Linked DNA regions of Macaca fascicularis. The protein of the gene in region 1 interacts with the protein of each later gene in a pairwise test. Links are inferred from orthologs where the notes say so. Each region holds a gene or a part of one and is shown on either strand. Other genes may lie near its edges. The genes, in order: CDR2, ZGPAT and KANSL1.

Region 1 (3,646 bases):
AGGCTGGAGTGCAATGGCGCCATCTCAGCTCATTGCAACCTCTGTCTCCCGGGTTCAAGTAATTTTCCTGCTTCAGCCTCCCAAGTAGCTGGGATTACAGGCATGTGTCACCACACCTGCCTAATTTTTGTATTTTTAGTAGAGACGGGATTTCACCATGTTGGTCAGGCTGGTCTCGAATTCCTGACCTCAGGTGAGCCGTATGTCTCGGCCTCCCAAAGTGCTGGGATTACAGGCATGAGCCACCATGGCCAGCCAAGGAACAGCAGGTATCTTATCTGTTTGTGTCACCTGGTCCTGATCTTCTCTTACAGTATCTGACCAAGCAAGTGGAGCTTCTACGGCAGATGAACGAACAACATGCAAAGGTTTATGAACAATTAGATGTCACAGCAAGGGAACTGGAAGAAACAAATCAAAAACTAGTTGCTGACAGCAAGGCCTCACAGCAAAAGATTCTGAGGTAAATTTTCTAGAATCTGACAAGGAAGGCCTAGAGGGAAGTTCTTTAGTATAAACTAGAATAGAACATGGCTGCAGTGGGTTTAGGTCAATATGGGATAAAGTTTAATTTAATTCTTTCTGGAGAATGGAGATTAAATAGATGTCCTTTCCAATTAAGAAAGCCCAATGTGAGTGGCTCGCATCTAATCTCTCCTCACCGCTTTTGCCCTTGATTCAGTATGACAAGCAGCAATGGCTTCTGTCTGTTCCTTACAGCCTGACTGAAACGATTGAATGCCTGCAAACCAACATTGATCACCTGCAGAGCCAAGTGGAGGAGCTGAAGTCATCTGGCCGAGGGAGAAGGAGCCAGGGGAAGTGTGACCAGGAGAAACCGGCACCCAGCTTTGCATGTCTGAAGGAGCTGTATGATCTCCGCCAGTAAGAGCCTACCTGTCTGTGGAGTTACAGCAGGGACTGTCTCATGTCATTGGCACATTCTGAATTCCAGTAGATTGAAAGTACCATTTTAAGAAATGTCACTTAGCTATTAAGCTACCATTGGTTTTGAACAAAATCACTTAAACATAGAAATTACACAGTTCTTATATATTGGTAATTCTTATTTTGAAAGTCTTAGAGCACTTATTTCAGGGCTTTTAATGTGTTAAATCATAGTTTAAGATGAATGACTTCTGATAGACTATAGAAATATTGGTAAAACAAAAATTCAAGCAAACAAGATTTTTTGCTTAAAGAAGTACCTTTATAATTTAGAGTTACAAGTCTGAATCTTTAAGAAGTATTTGTGGAACACTTGTTGTATGGCAAGCTCTATGCCAGACCTGAGGGCTGGTGAGCAGAATAGAGTTCCTATCCCTGTGAGCTTTCAGTCTAACAGAACGGCAGATAAGCAAATAAAAACACAAATAAATAGTCAAGCAAGGTGCCTTGGACTGAGCAGGAGAAATCAGGTGGTTCATTTGGTGGGTCTTTGGCTGCACATCAGATCACCTGTGGAGTTTTTCAAAATGCAGATACCAACACATTCCCTCAGGCCTAAATCAGAATTTCTGGGTGTGGGTAAAAAGCTGCCCAGGCAATTCTGATGAACATTCCTGGTTAAACACCACAGCAACAGTAATTTGCTGTAGTGATTCAATCGTAATTATGTATTATGAATCATTTGGAGAGCCTTTAGAAACCCTCAGGCCGGGTAGCAGACCAACTAGGTTAGAATCTGTGGGTTGGGACCCAGGCACCAGTACTTTTTAAGGTTTCCCTTGTGAGGTCATTGGCATACTGCCAGTCTTTGGGAATAGATGTTCTTTAGTACTTTCAACATTAAAAAAAGATTCATCGCAAAAACTGAGTTTGCTTTCATGTGTTTATTTACCAGCCTCACACAGTTCCATTTTAGCCACTGCTCCAGTGTGGCTAAAAATCAGTCACTGTCGGCCGGGTGCAGTGGCTCACACCTGTAAATCCCAGCACTTTGGGAGGCCGAGGCAGGAGGATCACCTGAGGTTGGGAGACCAACCAGCCTAACCAACATGGAGAAATCCCGTCTCTACTAAAAATACAAAATTAGCCAGGCATGGTGGCGCATGCCTAAAATCCCACCTACTTGGGAGGCTGAGGCAGGAGAATTGCTTAAACCCGGGAGGCTGAGGTTGCAACGAGCTGAGATCGCTCCACTGCACTCCAGCCTGGCGACAGAGTGAGACTCCATCTCAAAAAAAAAAGAAAAAAAAATCAGTCACTGTCACAGCTCCTCAAATTTATTTAGTTGAAAAAAAATCACCAGTCTTCCTCACTTCATTCTCAGTGGACCTGTGTAATACATTCTTTCAATATTTTTTTCCCTAGACACTTCGTGTATGATCATGTGTTCGCTGAAAAGATCACTTCCTTGCAAAGTCAGCCAAGCCCTGATGAAGAGGAAAATGAGCACTTGAAAAAAACGGTGACAATGTTGCAGGCCCAGCTGAGCCTGGAGCGGCAGAAGCGGGTGACTATGGAGGAGGAATATGGGCTGGTTTTAAAGGAGAACAGTGAACTGGAGCAGCAGCTGGGGGCCACAGGTGCCTACCGAGCACGGGCGCTGGAACTAGAGGCTGAGGTGGCAGAGATGCGACAGATGTTGCAGTCAGAGCATCCATTTGTGAATGGGGTTGAGAAGCTGGTGCCAGACTCTCTGTTTGTTCCTTTCAAAGAACCCAGCCAGAGCCTGCTGGAAGAGATGTTCCTGACTGTGCCGGAACCACACAGAAAGCCTCTCAAGCGCAGCAGCAGTGAGACGATCCTCAGCAGCTTGGCAGGGAGTGACATCGTGAAGGGCCATGAGGAGACCTGCATCAGGAGGGCCAAGGCTGTGAAACAGAGGGGCATCTCCCTTCTGCACGAAGTGGACACACAGTACAGTGCCCTGAAGGTGAAGTATGAAGAGCTGCTGAAGAAGTGCCAACAGGAACAGGACTCCCTGTCACACAAGGCTGTACAGACCTCCAGGGCTCCGGCCAAGGACCTGACTGGAGTGAACGCCCAGTCTGAGCCTGTTGCCAGCGGCTGGGAACTGGCCTCTGTCAACCCAGAGCCCGTCAGTTCCCCTACAACACCTCCAGAATACAAAGCGTTGTTTAAGGAGATCTTTAGTTGCATCAAGAAAACTAAGCAGGAAATAGATGAACAGAGAACAAAATACCGATCACTCTCCTCTCATTCTTAATTGAACCTCTAGCTCTACTACTAATTTGCCTATTGCCTATCACCTCTCTCATTCAGACAAGTGTTTGTAGACTTGGAAGCCTGATGTTGCTTGTGACATTTGCCTCATTGCTTTGCTTATTTAGCAAATGCATACAACGAGGAAAGGAGGTGGCTACTGGTATCAGTTCTCTGATCCACTTCCATTTAAGCTCCCCAGGAAATCCCATGACAAACTGGCCTCTGGCTGGCGCACTGATTAGACTTCAATTCCTGAAAAGGACCAGTGGAGGGAAGAGCTATACTACTGGAGAAGTAGGCCTGGAGTTACTACAGTATGGGGGAGAAGGGCCGAGTTGGCACAAAGCTAAGGCAGTTCCTATTGCTTCCTTGCGCAACTTCTCAAAACGATGTAAAGTCAGAGGGCTGTCAAACTCAAGTATCTTTTGCAAACACTGAATACTGTGAATTCATTAAGAAGAATGTTCAAGAGAAA
Region 2 (3,746 bases), on another chromosome or scaffold:
AAGGCTCATGACCTTGGTCCTCGACACACCCAGTCCCAGCTCTCCCGGGGGATGGAGCAAACCATGCTGGTGCCACTCAAATGAGACTTGAGAGGGGACTGACAGGGCTGTGGCCAAGGGCCAGCTGGACTGTGAACGTCACGGCATCCTCAAGGCCCCAAACCCACAGCCTGCTATTTAGACCCCTTACTGTTTAGACCCCTTACTGTTTAGACCTCTTACTGTTTAGACCCACGGTGGTGGTGATTTTGGATAGACTCATTCCCTTGTAGTTCTTGTTAAACCGGGTTTTTGACTGTTCCAGGAAGGTCTGAGGAGAGAGGGAGAGGCAGACACATCAAGTAGGGGCTACACTGGCTTCCCAAATATCCTTCCTCAGGCCTGTTCCTTAAGAGAGAAAAACAGAAACAAAGCAACACTCTGCTCTTCAGGAAGCTGGTGGTGACAATCCTGTCGTCTCAGGTGAAATGTGGATTCCATCTGGGTAGTGAACATGCAGCTGACAGCACAAAACCGAAGCGGGGGCCACCCGGCCGTGGGAAAGGTGCGGGCAAGGGAGTGGGCACTCACCGTCTTCCCAGCATTGTCCAGGCCCAGGATCAGGATGCAGTACTCGTCCTTCTGAAACATGTACTTGTACAAGCCCGACAGCAGCGTGTACATCCTGCCCTGGGCGCCCCAACATGTGTCAGTGTGCAGCCGGAACGCAGCTCCCCGCCCCCGGGCTTCTCCACGGTGGTCAGGGGCGCCCCACGTCCAGCTGGCCGCTCAGGACCAGAGCCTGGGGGCCATTCCCGACTCTCCCTCCTCCACCGCACCCCTGCAACTCCTCCCAGGCCGGCCGCCACTCCGTCCTTCCGCTCACAGCAATGACTGCGACCTTTCCGAACCCGCAGCGGCTCCGGTCCCTCCCCTGCTCGCGGGACCACCCAGCCGGGTGTTCGCGGTGAGCTCCGCTGCGCTCCCGCCCTCCCCCGAGGTTTCGCTCCCACGCTTCACGCGCGCGGAACGGGGAACACACTCGCGGCAGCCCCGCCTGGGCCCCCGCGCCCCACCCGGGAGCAGCGAGCCGCCGGCGCGCTCCCCAGGAGCTCCCCAGGGACGCCCCATCAACCCATTTCTTAAAACGGGGACGGCCAGCGGGAAGCGGACTACAGGGCGGGTGCGCAGCGGCCCGGCTGCTCCCGGAGGCGGCGCGCGGCGGGCAGGGAACGACTCCCGCGGAGAAAGAACCCGCGTCGGGGACCCCGGCTACGGCCGCCCCATGCCGCGGCCGCCAGGTTGGAGGCTCGCCGACAAGCAGCCAAAGCTGGTTCCTGTCACACCTGCGTCCCACCTCCAGCTCTGGGCCGCCCCTCGGGCCTCGCGCCCCACCGCATAGCCTGCGGCCTACCTGCGACCGCCGCGACCTCGGAGCCGCCGCTGCTGACCCCCGCTGACCTCCGCTGACCCCGCGCTAACCCCGCGCGGCGCCTGACGGGACGAGAGCCGGCCTCAGGGAAGGAGCTGAAACGCGTCCCGGCGGCCTCCGCGCTCCGCTTCCCGGCTGCCCCCGCGCGCCAGGCACTTCCGGAAGTGGCGGCGCTCGGGAGGAAGTGCTGGTCGGCGGCGGGGACGAAAGGGGGGTGCCGGGCCGCTCTAGCCGGTGAGGCCGGCGGGCTCTCTATGGCGGCGGCTGGGAAACCGCGCGGGGGAGGTTCCCTGCCCGGGGAGAGGGGACCCCGGTTTGCGGGGACGCGGCCTTGGCCAGACTGCAGAGACGCCGGGCGCGGGGGCGGGGCCGGCCTGGAAGGCAGCGGGCGCGGCGGGTGGGCTCGGCGGAGGGCCGGGCGGCGGGGCGCCCCGCGGGGAGGGGGTCTCCGGAGTGACGCGGGACCCGGCTAGCGGCGAGCCCAGGGCGGCTCGGAAGGGAAGCGCGGAGCCTGAGCGGGGGTACCCGGTCTGCGACCTCTGCGCTGGGAGCTGTGCCTCTGAGCCGGTGTCTCCCCGAGGGACAGGGGACGTGCCCGTGCCCTCCCGCAGTCTGTGGGGCCGGTCCCGAGACGCGAGGCTCACCTGGCTTCTCTTCTCGCAGCCCTGGTCCAGCGCCTCCCTCTCTCAGCATGGACGAGGAGAGCCTGGAGTCGGCCTTGCAGACCTACCGTGCGCAGCTGCAGCAGGTGGAGCTGGCCCTGGGCGCCGGCCTGGATTCGTCTGAGCAGGCGGACCTGCGCCAGCTGCAGGGGGACCTGAAGGAGCTCATCGAGCTCACCGAGGCCAGCCTGGTGTCTGTCAGGAAGAGCAAGTTGCTGGCCGCGCTGGACGAAGAGCGCACGGGCCGGGAAGATGCTGAGTACCAGGCTTTCCGGGAGGCCATCACTGAGGCGGTGGAGGCGCCAGCAGCAGCCCCTGAGTCCGGATCAGAGACCGTTCCTAAAGCAGAGGCGGGGCCCGAATCTGCAGCAGGTGGGCAGGAGGAGGAAGAGGGAGAGGACGAGGAAGAGCTGAGTGGGACAAAGGTGAGCGCACCCTACTACAGCTCATGGGGCACTCTGGAGTATCACAACGCCATGGTGGTGGGAGCGGAAGAGGCTGAGGATGGTTCGGCGGGTGTCCGTGTGCTCTACCTGTACCCCACTCACAAGTCTCTGAAGCCGTGCCCGTTCTTCCTGGAGGGAAAGTGCCGCTTCAAGGAGAACTGCAGGTAAAACCCTTTGTTATCAGGATGCCAACCTTGGGGCGTAAGGGGCACGCACACAGGGTCGGGTCAGGGTGGCCCTCCCTTTGCTTTGCAGTTTTGTCTCAGCTTCTTGGGGCAGGCATGCTTTGTGACAGCAGTGTCTGTGTTCAGGCGTCTGCGTCTTTGTTCCGGGGTAAATCAAGAAGCATAGAAGGTGGCCGGGTGCGGTGGCCCACGCCTGTAATCCCAGCACTTTGGGAAGTCAAGGCGGGCAGATCACCTGAGGTCAGGAGTTCAGGACCACGCTGGTCAACATGGTGAAACCCTATCTCTGTTAAAAACACAAAATTCAACTGGTCGTGGTGGCGCGCACCTGTGGTCCTAGCTACTCAGGAGGCTGAGGCAGGAGAATTGGTTGAACCCAGGAGGCCAAGGTTGCAGTGAGCGGAAATGGAGCCACTGTACTCCAGCCTGAGCAACAGTGCAAGGCTTATGTGGAAGAGAATAGGTCTCCAACCTATCGTCATTGTTTTTTTGTTTGGTTGTTGTTTTAATTTTTTTTGAGACAGGGTCTTACTTTGTCAACCAGGCTGGAGTGCAGTGGCGCAGTCCTGGCTTACTGCAGCCTGGACCTCCTGGGCTCAACTGATCTCCTGCCTTAGCGCCCCTAGTAATTGGGGTACAGACTCACACTACCACATCCAGCTAATTTTTGTATTATTATTACTTGTTTATTTATTTATTTTTTGAGATGGAGTCTTGCTCTGTCGCCCAGGCTGGAGTGCAGTGGCGCAATCTCGGCTCACTGCAAGCTCTGCCTCCCGGGTTCAAACAATTCTCCTGCCTCAGCCTCCCTAGTAGCTGGGATTACAGGCACCTGCCACCATACCTGGCTAATTTTTTTGTACTTTTTAGTAGAGACGGGGTTTCACCGTGTTAGCCTGGATGGTCTCAATCTCCTGACCTTGTGATCCGCCCACCTCAGCCTCCCAAAGTGCTGGGATTACAGGCGTGAGACACAGTGCCTGCTTTTTTTTTTTTTTTTTTTGGAGATAGAGTTTCACTCTTGTTGCCCAGGCTGGAGTGC
Region 3 (3,746 bases), on another chromosome or scaffold:
TTTTTAAATGTATTTTTAGTCACAAGAAAATCAAAGAAGCCACCCATTTCAGTCTTAAGCTCTGCCCTTTGCCTAGTCCTAATGGAGGGTTCTTTGGCCATCTATGTATAAAAGATGAGAGAAGCCAAAGAGACTGGAGAACCACCACATCAATGGGAGCTTTTTCATCTAAAGGTCATCTGTCCACACTGTCCAAATGAGGTTTACCCTGTGAAATAAACTTGGCATAAGTGCTACCTGTTGAGAAAAACAGTGTGAAATGTCACGCAAAGGACTGGGGTGCAGCAGGAGGACTCTGAAAAAGTCATACGTGTAAACCAGCAGGTCTTAGAATGTTCTAATATACTATATGCAGTTTCAGAGTAAACAAATGGTTAATGACACATCTTTTGTAACACATGAATCAGCTACTGATTTGCAAGAGTGGGACACACCCTAGTACCTATGACTCTAAAGTACCTGTTTGAAAAGTGGACCTAGATGTCTGAATTGCCAACCTATCCTAAAATTGGAACAGAATTTTATAACTATGTAAGTTGCCATAATTTAAAGTTAAAAAGATCACTGCCTTTCATTATAATGGAAGTTAATTTGAGAACTTCATTAAAACGTTCACACCGATAATCAAAGAACAGTAGCAATGCAAAGTAAGGTACAGCCAATCAATCCTAGGAAGCAAACACAAGAGGCAAGAGAAATGGCAGGTAAAGGAACTGAAGAATAGCAAATTCAAGAATTACAAGCATTACAAAGTTCTAAAGAAAAATGAATAAAATGAGGCTGGTAATGAAAAAATAACACATCTTACCTTAAGAGGCATCCAAATAGCATTCATAGTGTCAGGATATAAAGACAATACTCAGAAATGAGCAAGAAGTCTTAGTAATTCCCTCGGTTACCAAGTATGAGCAGATAGGAAAATCTTTTGTTTCGATAAGGTATCTGAAAGAGAGGATTTTCATTTAGACTAAAAAATAATCAAGAAAATGCAAATAGTTTAAGCTACATGGGCAGAGATTTTGAAGTACTATTTGCCTCATCGCACTAAAAAAGTATAGAAAATACAGTCCCCTTTAGAAAACGGCAAATGTGTGTGTGTCTCCGTACATATGTGTAGAAACATACGTTATATAAAAAGAGAAATAAATATGTAACACTTACTTTAGATAATGTAAAATTGCTTATCAAACAGCCAAAATCCCAGAGAGAATAAAGTTTCCAGGGTACCTCATAAACACTAAACGTGATTTGTTAACTAACCATCTAAAAAAAGACCCTTGCTACATTTAATTATATTTAGTAAAGTAAAACCTCTCTAATCATCCCGACTGTCCCAAGATTATGCTTAAGTTTCAGAGTCAATTCCACATGAAAAGTAAAACCTATTCTTGACTGAAGTACTAGAAACAAATAAAATACCCTTCTTCCCCAGAGATCGTTAAAAGCAGACCGAGCAACTTAATTTTGAGGGTAGGAGGAAGGTAAATTTGCCTGGAGGCTGGAGGATGGACTAAATGACCTCTAGTAGGATCCTCGTTCAAGTCCTGGGCCTGAATACAATTCCAGCTTAACCAGTTACTGCTTCGCTTAAAATGGAGGCTTGCCCGCGTAGGGACAAAAATAACAGCACCCACTTCGTTAAAAACAAATGTCGAAAAGTACCCTTATTTAAATAAAAATAAAAAATAAACACCTCTGGAGTGGATGTGTTCTTGCTATGCGTTTGTCACTGAGGCTTCGAAGACTTGGCATCACTTTCCTTACCGCTCACCGGATTTTGGGGGAGGAGCGGGGGGCGGCAGTTTGACTCCTGACCCAAGTCTCAGGCAGGCTTCAAAGCCCCACCAGGGCCCCCAACTCCAGAGCCAGAGGGAGCGGAGAGGCGAGAGCCCGAGATCGCACCTCCCCCCACCGCGGACCCCAGTCCCAAACCTACCCCTCACCCCTCCGCAGTGGGGCGCCTCCTTCTGCCCCATTCCCATTGTTAGGGAGGGGAGAGCGCGGGGTGGGCTCAGGGCAGGGGCGCCCGCGGCCGTTGCCCGGCTCGCTTCAGGAGGGGCGGCCCGCGGGATGCGGCTTCCCTTCCTCTCCGCGTCGGTCCGTCCCACCTCGGCTCGGCCTGGCGCCCCGAGCTCCGCTCCGCGCCCCCGGCCGCGGCCCCGGCCCGCCCCCGGGGCAGCCAGGCCCCCCGGCCACTCGGTCGGCAGCCTGCGGCCCAGGCCTACGAGTGGGCGCTGGGCGGGGGTCCCCGTGCCCCACACACGCGTCCCTCTCCCCGAGCCCCGCCGCTTCCAGGGCCCTCGGCGGCGCCCGCTCCCCGGGCCCCGCCGCCCCCCGCCTCCCAGCCGGGCCGCTCCCTCGAGCTCGTCGTGTCGGGGCCGCCGCCTCTACCTCACCATCACCCCTGTCCACTCGTGCCCCCACCCCCAGGGGCACCAGTGCCAAAGACAGCTCCCCCAGCCCCGGACCTACCTGCACGGTTCAACCAAGCCTAGAAGTGGGGGCGGGGAATCTTCCGCCCTCCTCTGGCGTTCATTGGCCCTTCAGGGGCATATCGTGAGCACCATTGGCTGAGCGATAGTGTCCGTCAGAGAGATGGGGCGGGACCGAAGGGGGAGAGGGATGCTGGTGCCTCGGCGTCTCTGTCTCTGTGTATCTCGCTGTCTCTGTCTCTGTCTCGGCCCTTGGAAACGAGAGGCTTTTGGATGAGAGGACTAGAAGCGGGCCTGAGGTGGGAGGAATAGGAATAGGAATCCTGCCAGAGCGTCACGCCAGTTGGCCACTCTGAACCCCCTACCTAAGTCCCCTTTAGGTTCTCTTCTCCATCACCCCCAACCCCTGCCCCTCACCCCTCGAGGTTCCTTCATCCAGGAAGCGACGTGATGAAAACTCCAGGCCGGAAGGCCATAGGGAGAGATGTTATATATGTATAGAAAATATACACATATAAATATTTATATATAAATTCAACCAGATATCAGTTCACTAGGGCCTGGAAAGGAAAGGGCACACATCTCACAGACAGGGAAGGACTTGAGATAGAGCCGGCAGAAGAAGGAATCAAAAATCACTCTTACGAGCTGGCAACAGTGGTTACCTCCTGGGAGGGGAACTGAGTGCCTAGGGAACCAGTGGGCGGAAGACTTACATATCTCGGCGTATCCTTTGTATCCATTGATTTTTGCACCATTCATCAAGATTCCAATTTTTTAAAAATTGATTTAAAGGTTTAAATAAGGTCCCAAAACCAGGGGACAGATAAGATAGTTGGCCAGGAAAATTGGCACAACATGCAGATTTGGGGAGGAATCTTAGCTTTTAATATATTCAGTTCCAGGTAACAGGGTTTTGTAAAACCCAGTGAAGGTGTCCTAGAGGCAACTGAAGTTACAGAACTTGAGAGAGGGTAGACAATCAGGAGGACTAGAGACTATGTGGGGTCCTCTGCCTGAAGATAGTGGTCTGTGACATGCTAAACTCCCTAAGCAGGGTAATAAGACACCCACGGTAAAAGGTAGGAGAACGAAAAAGAAGGTCAGTGAGGTAAAAGAAACAGAATATTAAAGAGGCATGAAAATTAAGGAAGGAAGGGTCTGTGGAAAATAGAACAATAAAACTATGAGAGAGGACGGGCGCGGTGGCTCATGTTTGTAATCACAGCACTTTGGGAGGCCAAGGCAGGTGGATCACCTGAGGTCAGGAGTTCCAGACCAGCCTGGGCAGCATGGTGAAACCCCATCTCTAAT

The links.
Region 2: the proteins of CDR2 (region 1) and ZGPAT interact in binary tests that used the Homo sapiens proteins (3 or more experiments, as listed by UniProt). The two-hybrid records come from large-scale screens. The link is inferred for Macaca fascicularis from reciprocal best matches to the Homo sapiens genes CDR2 and ZGPAT.
Region 3: the proteins of CDR2 (region 1) and KANSL1 interact in binary tests that used the Homo sapiens proteins (3 or more experiments, as listed by UniProt). The two-hybrid records come from large-scale screens. The link is inferred for Macaca fascicularis from reciprocal best matches to the Homo sapiens genes CDR2 and KANSL1.

The regions. Positions count from the first base shown.
Region 1 is NC_088394.1:21,335,701-21,339,346, reverse strand, and holds part of CDR2 (cerebellar degeneration-related protein 2), read left to right. Parts: intron 1-314; coding exon 315-463; intron 464-720; coding exon 721-885; intron 886-2,313; coding exon 2,314-3,172; 3' UTR 3,173-3,646.
Region 2 is NC_088384.1:119,823,609-119,827,354, forward strand, and holds the start of ZGPAT (zinc finger CCCH-type with G patch domain-containing protein), read left to right. Parts: upstream 1-1,565; 5' UTR 1,566-1,645; intron 1,646-2,074; 5' UTR 2,075-2,102; coding exon 2,103-2,683; intron 2,684-3,746. Other genes in the region: ARFRP1 (ADP-ribosylation factor-related protein 1), read right to left, coding at 223-310, 571-669, 1,326-1,379. UniProt on the Homo sapiens protein: Transcription repressor that specifically binds the 5'-GGAG[GA]A[GA]A-3' consensus sequence. Represses transcription by recruiting the chromatin multiprotein complex NuRD to target promoters.
Region 3 is NC_088390.1:67,803,131-67,806,876, forward strand, and holds the start of KANSL1 (KAT8 regulatory NSL complex subunit 1), read right to left. Parts: upstream 2,518-3,746; 5' UTR 2,473-2,517; intron 943-2,472; 5' UTR 809-942; intron 1-808. UniProt on the Homo sapiens protein: Non-catalytic component of the NSL histone acetyltransferase complex, a multiprotein complex that mediates histone H4 acetylation at 'Lys-5'- and 'Lys-8' (H4K5ac and H4K8ac) at transcription start sites and promotes transcription initiation.